Linked DNA regions of Mytilus edulis. The protein of the gene in region 1 interacts with the protein of each later gene in a pairwise test. Links are inferred from orthologs where the notes say so. Each region holds a gene or a part of one and is shown in the gene's direction. Other genes may lie near its edges.

Region 1 (7,542 bases):
CCCAATTTCATGGTCTATTGAACATGGAAAATGATAGTGCGAGTGGGGCATCCGTGTACTTTGGACACGTTCTTGTTTTATTGCTGCTTTGATGTCTTCTTAAATTGAAGCTTAATGCAATCATTTTGGTAGGTTATATGCCGATAGATAATGCTGTCGTCTGCAAAGAGTCTTATTTTACTGTTACCAAGAAGGTCGTTAATATCATACTAGAACATGGAGAACTGAGAGTATTGGTGCTATTACAGTCCGCTGAGGAACTTGTCTATTCAGTAGACTCTTGCTTCGTAAATTTTTATCACATACGTTCATTTGAAAGACATGCGTATGACTTTATTCAGAGAAAGATCGAATCAAATAAAATCAAATAACTCAAATAAAATGTATACTAAGTCGGTTAATTAAAAAGCATATATAACGCTTGGGAAGTTTGCCAGTTGTCATGATTTGTGTACATTTGTTTCTATCAAGGCTAGAAAAGTTTGCCAGTTGTTATATTTGTGTACATTTGTTTCTATCAAGGCTTGAAAAGTTTATTGTTGGGTTTGCCAGTTGTTATATTTGTGTACATTTGTTTCTATCAAGGCTTGAAAAGTTTATTGTTGGGTTTGCCAGTTGTTATATTTGTGTACATTTGTTTCTACCAAGGCTTGAAAAGTTTGCCAGTTGTTATATTTGTGTACATTTGTTTCTATCAAGGCTTGAAAAGTTTGTTGTTGGTTTGCCAGTTGTTATATTTGTGTACATTTGTTTCTATCAAGGCTTGAAAAGTTTATTGTTGGGTTTGCCAGTTGTTATATTTGTGTACATTTGTTTCTATCAAAGCTTGAAAAGTTTGCCAGTTGTTATATTTGTGCACATTTGTTTCTATCAAGGCTTGAAAAGTTTATTGTTGGGTTTGCCAGTTGTTATATTTGTGTACATTTGTTTCTGTCAAGGCTTGACAAGTTTGCCAGTTGTTATATATTTGTGTACATTTGTTTCTGTCAAGGTTTGAAAAGTTTGCCAGTTGATATATTTGTGTACATTTGTTTCTATCAAGGCTTGGAAAGTTTGCCAGTTGTTATATTTGTGTACATTTGTTTCTATCAAGGCTTGGAAAGTTTGCCAGTTGTTATATTTGTGTACATTTGTTTCTATCAAGGCTTGAAAAGTTTATTGTTGGTGCATGATTGAGGATTTGTTGCATCTTATATACTTGTTTATACTCAATTGAATTATAGTATGGAGCTAAGCAATATTTATACACTTTTAACAGACGATTATATCAATTAATGGTAAAAAATATATAACAATGGAACAATATCAAAATGAAACCTTTAGCATGTAGTTTTATTAAATTGAACTACACTTGACTGTTTCGGAGATCCGAGAAAATATTCAAATATCTGAGTCACATCAAACATCTTCACATATAAATAAAACCTTTGTTGTGTACAACATGTACAAATTTTAACCAAAAGATATCTTCTTCATCTTCTTGTGCTTCTTCAATATCTTCTTCTTGCAGCATACGTGCCTGTTGTAATGCACTATCCAGTTTGTATACAGAAATCTTCAAATGGAAATAATTACAGTACATGACTGTATGTTTCATTTTGATACGTTATTCCTATTGTCTACCAGCAATCTCACGTCATTCAGAAATCAACCTTAATTTCCAAATCATCGGAAATATAACATTCGTGATGACAAGAGATACTTCTATTAAGTACACAGGTAAATAAAAGAAAAACTTTAACAGTCGTGTTTTCATGATCCTTCCTCGCTTCATACAAAATGTACTTCGGTCAACGCTTTTACACCTCTAAACATTTATGACATGCACAGCTGTAATATTCTCTGTGTGCTTCTTGGTTCAACGGTTGTCTGCTGCCAAGAATGCTGTTCTTCCATTTTCTTTTTCTGGTGGATGGAACCAGCAACTGCTTCGAATTTTTAACGGGTTTAATTTGATCAATTTGCATCCCGCTGTGTGAGTAACGTTGCCGTGTTGATTTTTTTGTACCACTTGTTCTTTCGTTATTTCTGGAACGCATGGTTTGTGCCGTTTATACAGTGGCGCCCTATCAGGAAGTTTTGTGCTGTTTCATATCCTCCGAAATCACACAGCTATGTTGTAGACCGCCCAAGTGTATATTCATTGTGGTCCAGATCCATTTATCCTTATGTCATAATTGTTTGTAATGTGACTTAGCTGGATATTAAGAATATATGTCATTTACCATTTGCATAAAAGGGTAATTAGCTGTTAAAAGTTTTAACTGATTTGACTCAAATTCTCATATTTAAATTATACATACTAAAACGTATACCCAAATAATAAAAAGTTTAAACTACACAATTGACGATGCACGGACTCGATCATATGTATCAATATTTCATGTGTATTTTAGTCTAAATGCCATCTAATCAGTAAGCATCGAGGTAATCTCAGAAGACTGCCGACGATCATATAACCCGATTTAACTTAAAATAGATAGCGAACTGAGTACTCGTGCAATTGTATTTTTTCAGGTCTGTTTGAATTAATATCGTAGGTTTAAAACATATGTTTATAATCGTTTTTACCTGTATAACAATTTTTTTTTTAATCCAATCAGTCATTTTTATATAACTTAGACCGTTGGTTTTCCCGTTTGAATGGTTTTACATTACTAATTGTTGGTGCCCTTTATAGCTTGCTTTTCGGTGTGAGCCAAGGCTCTGTGTTGAAGGCCGTACCTGGACCTATAATGGTTTACATTTATAAATTGTTATTTGGATGGAGAGTTGTCTCATTGGCACTCATACCACATATTTATAATAGTCAGTCAGTGAATAATTAAAAAAAAATAAAAATTGAATGGATGATTCCTAGCCATGAAAATTTGTCCTGCTCATGTAACTGTGATGATTCCAACAATGATGCAGATAACAATGTATCACAATTTTCAGTACTCTAACATTTCATGAATTGTTTCTAGAACAGTGAATAACGCCAAACCTCTCCCATTCCACCAATATTTATGTTTTTGTTCACAGTGATAAACAGTTACATATTTTTAATCAACTTTCTTTGCTCAAGATTAAAAAAAAAAGCAATATTATCTGGGGGTTACTTTTTCGAGAAACTCCACATCTCATTACCATATAATACACCTAATCGCTATTTATTCCATTCCGGATAAGTTCTAAAATTACACAACTTTTTCATCCAGTTGAAGCTATCTTGGACCCTGTTTAAACAATTCACCATGCATGATACTTTTTAATGAGACCTGTTTAAACTACCGTAAATACTTCAAACAAAATATTTTTTTTACTTCAATTTTAATTTCGAAAAAAGTGGATCATACTATATCAAAGTTTCTTGATGATCACTTTCTAATTTTTTTTCTCCCTCAGCTCACTACTGGTGACCTCCATTTTTTGGCCGGTGACCCAAACAGGAAGTTGTATAAATGACTGTTTTTCCCGGAATGGACTAAATAGCGATCAGGTGTATAGAATTGGCTTCTCTGCTAAGGCAGCAAGCATTTGATTTTCTGGGGGGGGGGGGGGGGGGGGCTATGTTTTTTTTTGGAAAAAAAAGTTTGTTTCCATTTTTTGGAGAAAAAAAATCATTTGTTTTTGATTCTGAGAAAAAAAAAATGTTTGTTTCACCCTCAGCTGCCACTATATGTAATGCTAAAATTGAAAGAAAAAAGATGTTTTCGACTTGTCGCGAAAAAAATCACAGGTGCTTGAGGACAGGATCCTGTATGAGCCCCAAATAGTCCCTCCCCCTTTTTTAAAATTTTTTTTTTTTAATCATAAATCTCAGATTTTTCTATATATATCCCTTATTTGTACCATATATATACTAATATACCATATTTATACTCTAAATATGCATGTTTACTATCAATAGTATAAATATGGTATATTAGTATATATATGGTACAAATAAGGGATATATATAGACAAATCTGAGATTTATGATTAAAAAAAAAATTTAAAAAAAGGGGGAGGGACTATTTGGGGCTCATACAGGATCCTGTCCTCAAGCACCTGTGAAAAAAATAGATTGTTTTTCGCAGCAGGCAAAAAAAAAATTGTCCCCCCCCCCCCCCCCCCCCGAAAATCAAATGGTTGCTGCCTTATCAAAAATACGAAAACATGTTTTTATCTAATATAAAACATATTTATCGTTTAAGATCAACTGACTCTTATGCTCAGAATTCATTTGTTGTCATGTTTAAAAGAAGTCGTGTTGGTATTTGGGTGAGTCTAAACGCGGACCTCTAAGAGGACACCTCCATGTTTCGTTCTTTCGGAATTTCGGATTTGAGCCTCAGGAGGAATCAATTTTTTAAGATTATTATATTGGTTAAGCTCACCGTTCATTGTAAACACTACAAAAAAAATCCATTTTGAAACAAACATTTTGAATTTTCACAAAATATAAAAACATTTGGAAATTATAAATAGAAAATAAGTATAACAATCCTGAAATAGCGGATCCCTTTAATCACGTGATTTATTAGTTTTGAATAGCCGCCATCTTTGCTGTTTCCTGTTTGTGGTCGTTTCCTGATTATCGTGAAGTGTCGCCAAACAATAATCCTGCATAAAATTAAGAGATAAAAATCACTGCAACAAATGTGTTTGCCATAAATTAATCACATCCTAGCGATTGCTTAAATAATAATAGACAGAATCTTGCAAACCACGAAGTGGGTGTGAGCACAAGAACACCAGCTTTTCGCAAGACATGCCGGTCAGAAAACAAGGTGCATTGCATTCCTGTTTATCATGAATATGTATATAATCAGTGTATAAAAGGCACATTGTTATAACCACGTTATATATTACAATAGTCACTATTGTAATATATCTGGGATATCTGGTCAACAAATTATTGCTTATTATCTTTTCAATCACATAGACCTTATGTCAAAAAAGAACAACTGTAGGTTGAAATTCATAAATAAAACAGTCTTAATGTGCAGTAAATATATGGTATTGTGTCCGTTAGCCCTGATAGGATGCTTGCCCAGGGACTGTTCACCCTGAGTCTATTTCCCCATAGAGTCTGTACGCCCTGGATATTAAACTTCTCCATTCTTTTATTGAAAAATATTTGTATGAGGGTGTCAAAGTTGAATATACTTATTCAGATATTTATATGGTATATAAATTCTAGTATAAATGAAAACACATGAAAATATTTAAAATTAATGGCGTGTTTGTGAGAATTGTAATTGTTCTTAATACTATATCTCTCACTGCTTGTCATAATAATTAATTGTCTTTGATGGATGAATAATAAAAACAACATTTTGTTTTGATAATTTAGTCAGCTTGAAATTTGAAATGAGTAAAAACAATTGTGTAGGAATTGTAAAACATAAGTTCATTCATTATAATATAATATAAATTGACTGACTAGAATTATTAAAATTGTAAAAGATATCAATATTAAAAGATAAATACATTGTATTCCAAAATTCTACTATGCAGACTAAAGGAAAATATTTGGTTGCAGCAATACAAATATTTTAGCAAATTTTTCCACATAAAGTAACATACTTTGTTCATGTTCAAATATTATATGAACATGATAGTGCAACTAGACAACAATATAAAAAACAAAAATCTGGGCAAACAGGTATAAGTGCAAACTAACCCTGGTTCTAAAATTACAACAACAAAAAACAGTCTTCACGCTGAACTGCTAAATTTACAGGCCCGCAGCTTAATTTTTGAAATTTTTTAGTTAGTTTCTGTTGGTCTGTAGGTCTGATTTTTTCAGGCCTGAGAGAAATTTTACCAGTTTTACCAGCCTGAGCTGCCACTCGGCGTGAAGACTGCAAAGGCTTTTGCTTTACTATAAAAGTTAACATGCATCTTCTTGATGAATTAACTCAAATAATTCATTTGCTCCCCATGAAAGATTTTCTCTACTGTGAGAACCTGAATTCCTTTTATGATTAAAACATGTTCTCATCAATGTTCTCTGTGTGAGAGAGTCAATCAGCAGAAATACAATGTTATTGAGGTAGATAAAAAAAAACAAAAAAAAGAAACATTTAAATTGAGTTATAAATCTAGTGAAAACAAGACCTACGTGTATAATTGTTAATTTCTGTGTCATTTGATCTCTTGTGGAGAGTTGTTTCATTGGCAATATTAGTGAATCATACCATATCTTCTTTTTTATATGCACAAACTGGCCAAACCATCGCCTCGATTAAAAAAAATTGTACCATTAATAATATATATGAGAAATTAAAAAGTATATTGTCTGTGAGAAACTGTTCTCAAACTCTCTCCCACTTGCAAAATAAAATATCCCATTGTAACTTGGCCCATCTGCGTTCTTGATATGTTCTAGCTATAGTCTTTTAAATTTATACACACCACTTAAAAAATGCTTAAGTAACGGCTCGTGTAGTAAATTTAAATCTTATACTATTTTAGTGTTTTAACTTATTTTCAAATTCAACATTTTATAACTAAAATGAAACAAATTCAGGAAATATGCCTGACTTTTTTTCTGAAATTGAATAGTCCTTATCTGATTTATGAAAAATTTACATGCACATGCAAATTTCTCAAAATATCTAATTTTTTTGTTACTTCATGTAAGTGCTAGTGATTACATACATGTATTCAGTGAAAGCTTCATCTTTTGGTTTACGCTTTCCTGGATACATGTACCTGAGGCTGATTGTTTATGTCTTTGAAAATGAAGAGGTTACTGCGAACAGGTGAATGTTGCTTTCGAACAAGATGTTTAATACAATTTTGCATTTTTCTTTTTTCTCTTCTTTTCATAGATGCCCACAGGGCTTTAGAATTGTTAGAGGACTACCATTCCAGGCTTAGTCTTCCACAAGACACCCAGCTCAAGGTTGCTATAGAGAAAGTCATAAGAATTTTCAAAAGTCGCCTATTTCAGGCACTTCTTGGTATGTAAAATTAATATTTAAGGTGGAAGTTCTTCTTTTATTTAAGACAGAGTGATTGGCTCAATTTTTGGAATACAACATTTTTACATAAGGTACATGCACATGATCCACATTAACTTAGTTTGCATGATACGCAATGATTAAGGCCTTTATTATTATCTACATGTATATAAAAACTGAATATTATTGCATTTCAATAACAAGTGATTTGCACAAAGTTACTGATTTAGTATTAGTTATAATTACTGCATTACAAATTTATAATAATGGTTTTATACTTTGCTTAACAAAGCAAGGACTGTAGTACTGAATTTGGCATGTACAGAGGCTAAAATTATGTTCATGGTTTTAACCTATTTAAATGTTACATAATGTACTATCACATTAGAATAAAAAAAAAATGTATCTGGTATAAATGGAGCTAATTGAAAATGATACTAACTTCTGTTTTCAGACATACAAGAGTTTTATGAGTATACATTGTTAGATGACTCAAAATCTATACAACAGAAGACATTGGAGACCTTACAGATAGCTAACAAGTGGGAGAGAGAACCACCTATCACCAATGCTCTTCCTAAACTTGAGGTTGTTATTGTACCTAGAA
Region 2 (6,948 bases), on another chromosome or scaffold:
GACTGCTGAACCAATGCCTCTAAAGTTTGGTGAAGGTAGAGATTTCTTAAGGAGGCTCGCGGATATAAAATTTTCAGAAAAAAATTTAACATTTATTTTTCATTACAAATTTTATTAATTACCTTTAGTAGTTGTTTCTTTATCATATGGTACAAAAATCATTCCAAAAACTCAATTCGTGTTGGTCCCAGGTGACATTTAAATTGTAGATATCATTGAAAAAGCTCCAAATTATCTCCCTTTGGTGCAAAAATGCCATTTTTTGGCATTTAAATTGAAATATCTTTTTTAACTCATCGGTGACCTATATTTTTTATTGTTGTTTTCGAATTAGCTGTACATAAACTAAATAATTGTAAAATTTAAACGATTTCTGTAATTTAGTTCTTTTTTTATTTCGATATTACCGCTTTTTCTCCTATTAGTTCAACAGAAAAAAAGGACATTAACAAAAATGTATGCTTCTTTCGAAGCCAGATTGTGAGCGTAAATGAACGGTGACCCCATTTTTTTATTTATTTTTTCTATTAAGAATAGAATAAAGTTCTTTTATAGAAAAATATAGCGAAATCCTATATTAAATAAAAAAATTGATTTAGACCCGCGAGCCCCCTTAAATGGATACTGATGGTATGCAGGGTTGTCAAAAGAGTAGAAGAAATTAAATTGTAGACTTTATACACTTCAAATGTGTTCAGTAACACTAAATGTTGTTGTCAATTTAGCAGTGACTGACTGTTTTATCCTTTATTTGTAACATAACAAGCACATGCACAAATGTCTGTTGTTCCAGTATCTTGGATAATTCTGAGCATATCCCACATAATTTATATGTTAAGTTAACTAAGACTTACATTGTTGATTTCATGTGAAAATGACATTGTGTGAATAAATTTTAATCGCTGTCCATCTTTAAAACTAGGTTTATGTTTGAAAACATCTTATAAACAGGATTCAGGTAGAGATAGAAAAGGAGCGAAAGATACCAGAGGGACATTCAAAATCATAGATTGAAAATAAACTGACAATGCCATGGATAAAAATGAGAAAGACAAACAGACAAATAATAGTACACAACTTGTGACAAGACAATAATCATTAAAATATTATTAGTTGCATTAACACTCACTGTAATAGGCTTAAACAGATCTCCAGATGGTTCATGTACTGTGCTCCAATCTGGTACTCCAGGTAGGAATTCTTTGGGCTCTGGTGGTGACATTTTCCTGTGAAAAAGAAAACATGAATAATTTCAATTATAAATAAAGCCTGTAAATCCTATCCTTTTATAAATTATATAAAATAATTCTGTACCAAAGTTTTGTTGAATTTTTTTTTTTTTTAGACTCTTATGTATTGTAGTCTTATGTCATATATGTAGTATTATAATATTAACTGAAACATAAAGTCTTACAACAAAATGTCCATTTTCTATCCATTTAGGGTTTAATTTGTATGTATGGTAAAGACAATAAATTGTTAGGATGCTTACTCTAATTTAATTTTGAGTTACTATCTCACTTACATTTATCCCTTTAAATCATGTTTTTGAATGTCCATCTGGTATCTTTCACCCCTCTTTATTCATGTCCAATTAAAAACATTCAAAAAATCCTTCAAGTGGGTGTACGACTGTTTTGAAAACAACAAAATGAAAATAATTCAAAATTCATTCAAAGTAAAGAAAAATCCTGCATAGGACAATACTTTTTTTCTGTTTTGACTGGGATGAGAAGCTCAGTGATCTGGAAGGTTTTTTTCACTATGGGCCCAGGGCCCCTCAAAAATAAATTCAATGGGCCATTTTTAAAGATAATGGGCCATGTTGTCAAATGGTTGGGCCATTTGAATTGACTTCTGTAAAAAAATAAAAATTATCATTATTTTTTGGCAAAGAGGTGTTGGTACTTACCTTGATTATTTTAAATAATATCATGGATATTGTTCCTGTGATTCGGTAATTTCAATGAAATAGAATATACAATAACTTCTTCCAAAACAGACAATATTAAAGATAATCTGTAAATTACAAAGTTTAAACTGGTACTGTTGCCTTGGCTTGTTCATGTTCATGGTTGTTTATTTTTAACATTAAATTTGGGTCTTCGTCGATACCATACTTATTGCAGACGTTCCGTATTAGAGAACATTTCAGGCACTTCTTGTATTATTATTATTACTTCATCACGTTGACAAGATTAACAGCAGAGAGTACCATTATTGTTAGAACAAAACAATTATTTGCTGAGGTCATGTTTACAAAATGTCAAAACGAGCCAAAGACCAAAAAAATGACAAGGACAGTTAAGCGCCTTTTATGGAGACAAAAACTATATTCATAAAAAGACTTGGGTTTTTTTCAATCGAAATAATAGCAAGCTAAACTAAATTAAAAGATTAGAGTTACATCTCGTCTGTAATAGCCAAATTTCATAAATTTAAAGTTGTTTATAAAAAGTTATATCATGAATGATGGTTAATTACGTTTTTTGGGTTATCATTTAGACCGCATGGTTCTATTATTACCATAGAAAAACACCCGAGACTTAAAACCGCATGGTTCTATTACCATAGGAAAACACCCGGGACGTCCCAAAAATATATTGGTGCTCCAATGATTGGAGGAACATTATACAGTTGTAAACACACACATGGCGGCACGGAAAACGATATGAAATCCATTTGACGATATCTAAACTTTTCGAAACGATGTGAAAAATATTGTGCGCCACGTGGGCCCTTACATTTGTCACTCTATGCGCCATTTCTGGTCAATATGCGCTATAGGCGCAGGGCGCACGTCCTTCCCGATCACTGGAAGCTAAGGACATAATTATTATAAACAAGGTGATGACACCAGTATTGCTTGCGGTACTTTATTTGTATTGCTATTTAGTCCAATCTGGGGAAAAAAACAGTCATTTCAGTCTTCAACAACTTTATATTTGGGTCAAGTGTTTCAAAAACAAAGGTCACCAGTAATGAGCTTTTAAAGGAAAGCATACATGTAGTTTAGAAAGCAAATATTTTGAAACTTTAATAGATTATGATCAACTTTTTTTTAAAACACAAATCAAAAGTAATACAAATTCTTTGTTTGACCTGTTTACAAAGGTTTAGACTTTTCTCCAGACTCCTTGAAAAGTTTTATGCATAACTTCTTGTTTCAATGTCATTATCCTTTTTTGAATACAGATATACAAAGGAAGAAGTTCATGAAGGGTTGTAACTTATTGCATGTGTTGTATTGTAATGTCAGTTTATCATTAGTTTGTACACTATGCATCTGTATTTTCCACCTCTGTATATGGTTAAGTGCATCACAGATTCCTTCCAGCTATTGTGTGATGGGCTGTTGTGCGCACGATTTAATCGTGCTTGCTGAGTAGTGCTGTTTGAAACTCCTCAGTTAAAGTGACACACACTAATGTGTCCTCCGGGTACAAATGTGGAGTTTTTGAACTATTCAGTCTGGCTATTTGGAACTATGAATGCTCGTTTGTTGTAACAGACTTGTTGGTCTATAATATTCTTAGTAATAAATTTATTTTAAAAGGTTGTTGCTCTGATGTATGACATATATCGTTTTGATATAAAATTTAATCATGTCGTCCAGAGAGAACAATGGTGATGGTGTCTTCCCCTCAACCCACATGCACTTGTTTCTGTCAATGGGGGGGTTTACAAACCAAAATCCCCCCCCCCCCCCCTTTTCCTATATTCAGGTGGACATTTTATGACTATGACTATGTGACAACGCTTAAATAGATCGATTTTTATTTCTTCTCATTAAATTCTTTTAATACCTTTAACTTTGATGTCTGGATATTCTGTTCGGCCTTCTCTAAACAGCTAAAAACTTGTAGCCCTTGGTGTACACAGACAGCTTAAAGATGCACCGGAAGTCCCATTTAACCGGATATGTAGCTCTTCTGTTGACCTCCCACACATATTTAAATCATTATTTCACATTTTCAGTTCATTCTTTAATTTTATTCATCCTTTTGCTGCACTATAATTTTCTCGTTTAGTTGTTTTACAGGTGGTTACTTTTTTTTGGAGTTATTTTCTAACGAATACGTTTTATTTTGTTCCAAGTTTTGGCGGGTGGGTTACACAATAGCAAATTCAAAAGCAAAATGGTCTCCTGAAATTTGAATAGTTCATTAGAAAACAAAGCGAAATTTTGAATTGAAATATCCAATGCTTTGACATTAAGGCAAATGGGATTGTGGATTAAGGTTTCCATTAATTGTCACAGATTTATGTAGAAGTTTTGGTAAGTAAAGTTTGAAGCTCCTCAGCTTACAAGGAATCTCAAGTGATTCACCACCGGCGGTACTCCGGTAGTCGAACAACATTTCAATTGTACATAATTCTTAATATTATTCGCGGTCGTTTTAGTCTTTATTCCTGTATATCCTACACAAAGAAATATCTATGTATTAAAACACCCTCGTATTAAGTAGTTTATAGCATCGACATCGTCCTGCTTGTTGCTGAGTAATAGATAAATAGTACATGTACAAATGTATATATACCACATAATTTTTCAGATGCATTTATGAAGCAGTTATGAGGGTAGTAATGCCCTTTGACGTCAAGTGTCAAGTCATTTTTGGCACCTGTTTATCGTCATATTGGTTTAAAATTTACAGTGATTCATTATTCGTCTCAAATGATTATCGTTACCGTTAATTTTGAAAAAAAAATAATCTGATTCGTCAATATCAGTCAATGTTTTTATCATCTGAAAGAAAGTCTACATTTTATCGTCATTCACCAAAAATAACTGTTAACGTCATTTTGCAAGATTTTTTACTGTTATTCGTCATGAAGGTACCCTTATTACGACCCTCAGTTATTGGTGTACATGCATGTACAGTATTTTCTAAAAACATGTACCCCTTCTCTCTGACCACCACAACATTTACATCTGCTTCAATTAAGTTTTATAATAAAGCTGGTAAAAATAAGTATTCCCATATTACAATATTTATTTTGTTATGTTTTGCAAATTCAACAACATGTCGAAATAATATTGCCATGTAAACATACATGTATATCAGAAATGATTTACAAGGCCATTTAAAAGTGTATGAGGGTTTCAGTAAATAATTTACATGACCAACCTTAGTTTAAACCCCATACGGTACGGTATAGTCCCTCTGATATATATCTTTCTCCCCTCTTATAGATTTTTTTTTTTCATTTATGAAAAATTAAAATTCAAATGATCAAATTTTGACTTCTGTCACCTGAAGTGCAGTCTTCACGATGAACTGTTAAATCTAGAGGCCCGGAGCTCAATTTTTGAAAAAAATTAATTAGATTCTATTGGCCTGTAGATATGATTTTAACAGGCCCGAGAGAAATTTTACAAGCCTGGGCTGCCATTCAGTGTGAAGACTGGAAGTGCCATCAGTAGTACCCACTATGACTGTAATTAATGCAACAATATTATCTCTAAATGTATCAAACTTGGATCAAATTAAATAATCATGAGGTATTTAACTGCAAATCAAGGGGACAGAGACTTTTTTAAACAAAATTTCAAGAATGGAGTTGAAAATTAGGGTAGTAATCCCACTCTCTGTTGTGGTAAGCTCTGAGCCCCTAAATTAATACAATTTAGAGATCATTTTGACCCCTGAAAGAGTTCTTAAAGGTTAAGTACAACTGTACATACAGTTGTACTTATCTGTTTCTTGGATTAAGTCAATATTATTAATACACACTAGGTGCCAGATGAACGACTCCAGGTTTAATTTGATAATCAGAACAAATGTTGTTAAACATACTTTTATCTGCATAAAGATGTATCATAAATGAAATGTGCAGTCATCTATTGTAACTTGATGACTGTTGTCTTTGTTATTTACTTTATACATATATACCAGTAACAGCAGTGACCATACATGTCAAAGTTAATGTTATATTTATAAGTATAATACGTTGGAAAGTATCAACTATAAAAAAGAAGATGTGGTATGATTGCTTGTTGACATATTAAGCTGCTTAGGATCTGAAACATAATATTAAGACTAACCCCATCATGTTTTTGTCTATATAAAATTTTGGCTCAAATTAATTGGGAAGTTGAAGATATAAATGCAAAATTGGGAGGTTTTGTTTCATCAAGGAAAAACAATACTGTGTAGCCCTGTTCAAGTGTATCGATAAATCATGTTTTTGTGAGAACAGTGTGTACTTCTTTTTGATATGTACAAAATATAATTCATACATTCAGTGCTCACTTTAAGGAGTGAGGTACATGTATTACCGATTTTGGCTCCTTAATTTTTTTTTAGATTTAATGCATGTATATATTTGTAAAAAAAAAGTTGAAAAGTGTCTTTAAGTTTTCATAATTAATTTTTTTTTTTTTTTAGATATTATGATAGTATTGTTTTATAATGTATAACTTTGTAAATGAAATTTGAGATCTACTAATTTTTCTATGTTTTAAAGAATAGTGTAAACTTTTCCCAGAGTTGTCAACAAATTAAAATTTAGCAACACACCATAAGAAATGAACAGTCTTGACAGTGCTTGATAAGTTGTTCAAATTAAAGAAAAAACATGTATATACGTACAGGGCTAAATAAAAAGTAATAGACAAAGTGCTTTCTCTTCATAAACAAATCTGAATTTGGAAATTGTACAGGTATAAAACATGTACATTTGTACATAAAATTCAACATGTGTGTCAATTGAAATTTTAATGTTTGTGTTTTATGATGTACAAATTTTAGACTGGCAATTGCTTGCTTTGGTAATTTCATATTTTTAGAAATCTGCAAATATCAAAGGAACAAAAATGTCATATTTGTACTTGAATCTCTAAATGAGCACTTTTCTAATTGTATCATATGTGACATATATGTTTGAATATATATATATACAGGCATTTTCTTAAGTCATAATTTTATTGATTTATTACAGAAA
Region 3 (7,192 bases), on another chromosome or scaffold:
ACAAATTGTGACTAATGGATGGAGAGTTGTCTAATTGGCACTCATAACCACATCTTTTCAGATCTATGTTCACCATTAGTTTTGTAGATAAATATACTAAAGGATCCTACATCAAAATGTCTAATGACAGAATATACAAATGTATAAAGAGAGCTGTTTATGGGAAAACATAAATTATACCCATTTAGGTAGGTGGCCTAAAAAGACTCTACCCAAAACCAAACCTACCCTGAATATAAATTCATAATAGCCATCTAGTAGGTGGCCTAAGTTGGAAACACTCTGAATTAACACCTTCATAGAAAGACAAAAAGACTCCATCCCAAACCAAACCCACACTATAAATTATACCCATTTAGTAGGTGGCCTAAAGACTCCACCCAAAACCAAACCCACACTATAAATTATACCCATTTAGTAGGTGGCCTAAAAACTCCACCCAAAACCAAACCCACACTATAAATTATAGCCATTTAGCAGGCAGCCTAAAGACTCTACCCCAAACCAAACACACACTATAAATTATAGCCATTTAGTTGGTGGCCTACAGACTCCACCCCAAACTAAACCCACACTATAAATTATAGCCATATAGTAGGTGGCCTAAAGACTCCACCCCAAACCAAACCCTAACTATAAATTATAGCCATTTAGTAGGTGGCCTAAAGACTCCACCCCAAACCAAACCCACACTATAAATTATAGCCATTTAGTAGGTGGCCTAAAGACTCTACCCCAAACCAAACCCACACTATAAATTATAGCCATTTAGTAGGTGGCCTAAAGACTCCACCCCAAACTAAACCCACACTATAAATTATAGCCATTTAGTAGGTGGCCTAAAGACTCCACACCAAACCAAATACACACTATAAATTATAGCCATTTAGTAGGTGGCCTAAAGACTCCATCCCAAACCAATCCCGCACTATAAATTATAGCCATTTAGTAGGTGGCCTAAAGACTCCACCCCAAACTAAACCCACACTATAAATTATAGCCATTTAGTAGGTGGCCTAAAGACTCTACCCCAAACCAAACCCACACTATAAATTATAGCCATTTAGTAGGTGGCCTAAAGACTCCACCCCAAACTAAACCCACACTATAAATTATAGCCATTTAGTAGGTGGCCTAAAGACTCCACACCAAACCAAACCCACTATAAATTATAGCCATTTAGTAGGTGGCCTAAAGACTCCACCCCAAACTAAACCCACACTATAAATTATAGCCATTTAGTAGGTGGCCTAAAGACTCCACCCCAAACCAAACCCACACTATAAATTATAGCCATTTAGTAGGTGGCCTAAAGACTCCATCCCAAACCAAACCCACACTATAAATTATACCCGTTTAGTAGGTGGCCTAAAGACTCCACCCCAAACCAATCCCACACTATAAATTATACCCGTTTAGTAGGTGGCCTAAAGACTCCATCCCAAACCAAACCAACACTATAAATTATAGCCATTTAGTAGGTGGCCTAAAGACTCCACCCCAAACTAAACCCACACTATAAATTATAGCCATTTAGTAGGTGGCCCAAAGACTCCACCCCAAACCAAACCCACACTATAAATTATAGCCATTTAGTAGGTGGCCTAAAGACTCCATCCCAAACCAAACCCACACTATAAATTATACCCGTTTAGTAGGTGGCCTAAAGACTCCACCCCAAACCAAACCCACACTATAAATTATAGCCATTTAGTAGGTGGCCTAAAGACTCCATCCCAAACCAATCCCGCACTATAAATTATAGCCATTTAGTAGGTGGCCTAAAGACTCCACCCCAAACTAAACCCACACTATAAATTATAGCCATTTAGTAGGTGGCCTAAAGACTCTACCCCAAACCAAACCCACACTATAAATTATAGCCATTTAGTAGGTGGCCTAAAGACTCCACCCCAAACTAAACCCACACTATAAATTATAGCCATTTAGTAGGTGGCCTAAAGACTCCACACCAAACCAAACCCACTATAAATTATAGCCATTTAGTAGGTGGCCTAAAGACTCCACCCCAAACTAAACCCACACTATAAATTATAGCCATTTAGTAGGTGGCCTAAAGACTCCACCCCAAACCAAACCCACACTATAAATTATAGCCATTTAGTAGGTGGCCTAAAGACTCCATCCCAAACCAAACCCACACTATAAATTATACCCGTTTAGTAGGTGGCCTAAAGACTCCACCCCAAACCAATCCCACACTATAAATTATACCCGTTTAGTAGGTGGCCTAAAGACTCCATCCCAAACCAAACCAACACTATAAATTATAGCCATTTAGTAGGTGGCCTAAAGACTCCACCCCAAACTAAACCCACACTATAAATTATAGCCATTTAGTAGGTGGCCTAAAGACTCCACACCAAACCAAATACACACTATAAATTATAGCCATTTAGTAGGTGGCCTAAAGACTCCATCCCAAACCAATCCCACACTATAAATTATAGCCATTTAGTAGGTGGCCTAAAGACTCCACCCCAAACTAAACCCACACTATAAATTATAGCCATTTAGTAGGTGGCCTAAAGACTCTACCCCAAACCAAACCCACACTATAAATTATAGCCATTTAGTAGGTGGCCTAAAGACTCCACACCAAACTAAACCCACACTATAAATTATAGCCATTTAGTAGGTGGCCTAAAGACTCCACACCAAACCAAACCCACACTATAAATTATAGCCATTTAGTAGGTGGCCTAAAGACTCCACACCAAACCAAACCCACACTATAAATTATAGCCATTTAGTAGGTGGCCTAAGTATGAAACACTCTGGTAATGATGTAGCATATGTGAGACAACAGTAAAACTGACAAGGAGATGGCTTCACTCCAATACTGGTATTTATCACCCATCAATAAACATATCACTCAGTGTTGTCTACGTATACAAAACATAGATATGGTAACAATTATCATTAATAAACACCATCATCTCTCCGATGATCTTAATACATCATATACTGTCTACATACTGATTAAATAACAACTTTTTTTTACACCCTTGGCCTTTTTTAAATAATTTTTCAATACCTTTGACACAGTAATACAAGAGATTAAAAGCAAAACTGTATACATGATAAAAACATTTGTTTTTCTTGCTGTGAAAAATAAATCAGTGGCAATTAGTTTTACATTTTAGAATATAGATGCCCAATAGGCAAATGATAGATAATGTTCTTGATTACATGTAGCCTGAATCAAGCAACCTTTCACTATAACAATAAGCATGGTCTAACTTTGAACATAGACCTAAACTGCTGGTTTTGTTACCAGTCCCAATAAATTTAATCTGCTTACTGTAGCCACTTTGAAAATAATGGTTGTGGTCTAAAGCACAACACTTGATTCATAACACTAAACAACAATTAAGTAATGACTTAAAGACTAATATCTTGAAAAACTGACCACACTATGTCAGCTTGGCTTAAGAATAATGGCTCTTCAGTCATAATAACCGACAAATTAGTTAAGCTTTGCCTAATCCTATACATCAAAAACATCATATTCTTTCATAAGTTGGTAGAGTAACTCATATACTTTTTCACTCTCTCTGCCAAATAGTTAACACACATTGCTTGTTTTATGTATTTTTTTTTTACATCTAATGTTCACTTCTGGTCCAAATACCTCTTGTTCATGAATTAAAGCATCTACATGTATTTGTGCCATATCTAAACTATGATGTTTTAGGAAGTATCTGGTTGTCAAAATGCCACAATCTTAATATCTGTGTTCTCTGGTGTGTTGATGCATTTGAAATTTATGACATGGAATATGCTTCATGCACCTGTATCATACTATTCGTGCATAATGTGCACTGTAGTTGTGTAATGAACCGAGGTCATACCATTTGACTGGACGTCTGCTTTTTCACTATTTGTTGGAAAGTATATGATCAAAGAGAAATTCATTGGCTATAATTCCTTGTCAGTTTGTGATATTTAAATGGTTTAGACTTAACCTTACAGCATAAATCATAATTAATTCTCCTAAAGTACATCTCATTGACAAATTATCTAACAGCTGATCGCTACAACTTGGCGCTATTCACTTGCCAAAGTATAACATTGTTGCATATGAGCAAACAACAGCTATAAATTTTCAACTTTTTTTATCTTTTTTACAAAAAAGTACAATTGCATGTACTTTTGACATATGACTTTTCAGCTTAATGTGAATACTGTACAACCTAAGGATGCTTCATACATGTATCATTCAACGATTCCCCTAATTGTTTCTAGTGTTGATCAAATGATGCTGTCAAAATGTGCGTTGCATTAGATAGGAAATTCTTGTGATTCCCTGTCAGTGCCTGGTGACATTTATTATGATGTTCAATAGGCTCGGTGGAATTTTCTTCTGGGGAAGCAGTGGTGATGAGGTAAGAGCTTGTTTACCTTTTATTTAAGTACGGGGACTTAGTTTTACTTGTCGGATACCAATTTTTGTGGATTTCATAGGTACAGGTAAACCATAAGTTTAAATGTTAAAATAATCGTAAATTTTCTATAGGAGGGTGTGCAGACTTTGTGGCAAAACCTTGAAATCTAATATCCACTTTTTAAAAACCTACTGTTGAAGAAGGGACCTGTTACCATATTCAATGTTTGTCAGTTAAGGTCAAAAACAAAAGCTGACATTTCTTAAAAAAATTGCATGTATATTTAGCAATTTGCATATATCAATAATTAATTTACATAATGATCAACTAAGGACCAACTGTTGTATTAATATTACATAACTTTGATTTTTTTTAAAATAAAACAAATAAAGATACAATTTTGTAAAAAATAAAATTGAGAATGGAAATGGGGAATGTGCCAAAGAAACAACAACCCGACCATAGAAAAAAACAACAGCAGAAGGTCACCAACAGGTCTTCAATGTAGCGAGAAATTCCCCCACCCAGAGGCGTCCTTCAACTGGCCCCTAAACAAATATATACTAGTTCAGTTTTAAAATAAGTTTACTAATAAGGATTATCCTAAAAACTACCTTAAAACCTACCAAAAACTGAATTAAAACACTGTCGTTTGAAATAAATAATTTTCCCGCTCTTTTTCCAACTATGTCTCACATTTTCTATTTTTAGCTGCATGATTTTAAGAGGATCACACATTTATATAAATAATTAAGACTTCTCTCAGACTGACTTATGACATCTGCTTATGATCTATAATGTAACAAAGTAAATCACATGGAAAGTCTAAAGGAACTAAAAATTAATTACTGCATACTTGTAAGAATCTGCCACTTGTTTTATTGATCTTATGCTTTGCATGTATACATGTCTCTCTATTTATAATTTTGACGGTAATGTAAGCAGGATCATACAGGACTTTTTGTGCCTACCATTGGATTTTTGAATTTGCTTCTCAAAAATAAAATAAACATACAAAAGTTTTCTTTAATTTTCCTCTTATAAAAATTCTGTCTTTAAATGTTAAGAATACAGAAATGCTTTATTATCATTGGTTCAATTGAACCAGAGGATTTATTGATACATGAACTCAGAAAACCCTTAGCAAGGCCCCTCACCTGAATTCCAACAATAATGAAAAGAGTATGCCTTGTATATTTATGTTACTAATTCCATTTTTACCATAGTAATGCATCCCAGACTTTTGACTTTCTCCGCCAAAATCATCATAGCATATACGTCATACATTGAAGTTATGACGTTTGATATTATCTTACGAGTATAACAGTTACATTGCTTTATTGTCAAGGGCTGAAGATCATTTACACTTGACCACAGGGCCAATTGCCCTTATTACACCGCATGTTGACTATTGAAACACATACTGTACACATAGAACATACCTTGCCAGTTGTAGTCTTATATCTGAATGCTTTTTCTTTTAAATTTGTTGTCAGTAGCAGATCTTTTACATGTTTTATGGAATCTGCGTAATTTATTTCTAACTTATAAATTATTGATTAGGAACACTTTGGAGCTTCAATGACAAGTTAATGTTTGTATTTTCGAAGTCAATAGACCATGACTAAGGGGGCGGGGCCAAATTATCTCCATGGAAATGAGATATGCCAATGTTTATACAACTGCATACCAAATATGATTGACCTTCCCCTTGTGGTTTACCATAATTAAACTAGTGCTAATCACAAACTAATACATTGTTGACGCCGTCGCCGGAAACAGCATACCTATGTCTCGCTTTTTGACTCTGTCAAGGCGAGACAAAAATTAGTACATTTTAGTTGTCTGACCAAAACAAGTTGAACAAGTTGATGATATTATTAAGAAAAACAGACAATTTCAGAATTTTGTTGTTGAACTTCAACAATCTGTAACAGATGTCGCTATTTTTTAAACATTTGAATTGCTATAGTAAGTCAAATATGGATTCAACCTATAATACTATGGATATACAATACACAAAATAACAATCATGTTCAAAAACCCCCATCTGTTCTGATACAATATAGATATATTTTGGTATGCAACTGGATAGGTTAAATAATAAATTGATTAGCACTGATGTGATCTTGTCTGACAGATGTAAGTCATGCTTATTGATACATAGTTTAAAAGATCAACATAGGGATCAATCTTCTACAGCAAACACGGATCTGTTTACTGCCAAATTTCAAATGTAACTCAAAAGGAAAGTTGTGCTTACTACAAATATTTACTGCTTGTTTACAGGAATTTGTTTGAATTCATAAATTATGCATGAAAGGTGGACATATGGTTTAATAAATACAAGGTATATCATTGTTCCAAAATCAATCTATCAATAACTGCTGTGACCTTCACCTTTGACCTTATAATTCAAAAATCCATAGGGGTCTGTCTTCTTCCTTCTCTTATTGGATTACAAACGAGTCTGAAACCAAACCATGATTGATAGATATCATATTTTGTTCAAATGACATCCTTTTAAAATCAAATGTTGCCACAATTTCTGTGTCAAATGTATTTGTAACCATGACCTTTGACCTTGTAATCTTTAGGTCACTAGAACTTTTTTTTTCATTCCATGAAGGCATTATCAACCCAAATTTTATAAAAGATTCATTAAGGCGTAAACAAATCTTGTCAAGAAACCAAAATATTGACATCTGGATACTCAAACCACCTTGAGCAATAATAGAAATCATCATATATAATAAATTTTTAAAACCTATTATGAATCTACC

The links.
Region 2: the proteins of disks large homolog 1-like (region 1) and vang-like protein 2-B interact in a two-hybrid assay, tested with the Drosophila melanogaster proteins (3 studies listed by BioGRID). The link is inferred for Mytilus edulis from reciprocal best matches to the Drosophila melanogaster genes dlg1 and Vang.
Region 3: the proteins of disks large homolog 1-like (region 1) and potassium voltage-gated channel subfamily A member 1-like interact in binary tests that used the Drosophila melanogaster proteins (3 or more experiments, as listed by UniProt). The link is inferred for Mytilus edulis from reciprocal best matches to the Drosophila melanogaster genes dlg1 and Sh.

Annotation. Positions count from the first base shown.
Region 1 is NC_092346.1:79,105,727-79,113,268, forward strand, and holds the start of disks large homolog 1-like, read left to right. Parts: upstream 1-4,516; 5' UTR 4,517-4,735; coding exon 4,736-4,754; intron 4,755-6,803; coding exon 6,804-6,935; intron 6,936-7,389; coding exon 7,390-7,523; intron 7,524-7,542. UniProt on the Drosophila melanogaster protein: During embryonic development, some isoforms are essential for proper neuronal differentiation and organization. Required for cell polarity; maintenance of apicobasal polarity.
Region 2 is NC_092348.1:7,029,631-7,036,578, forward strand, and holds the start of vang-like protein 2-B, read left to right. Parts: upstream 1-3,934; 5' UTR 3,935-4,279; intron 4,280-6,948. Other genes in the region: uncharacterized protein, read right to left, coding at 1,130-1,222.
Region 3 is NC_092350.1:51,923,052-51,930,243, reverse strand, and holds the start of potassium voltage-gated channel subfamily A member 1-like, read left to right. Parts: upstream 1-4,178; 5' UTR 4,179-4,355; coding exon 4,356-4,409; intron 4,410-7,192.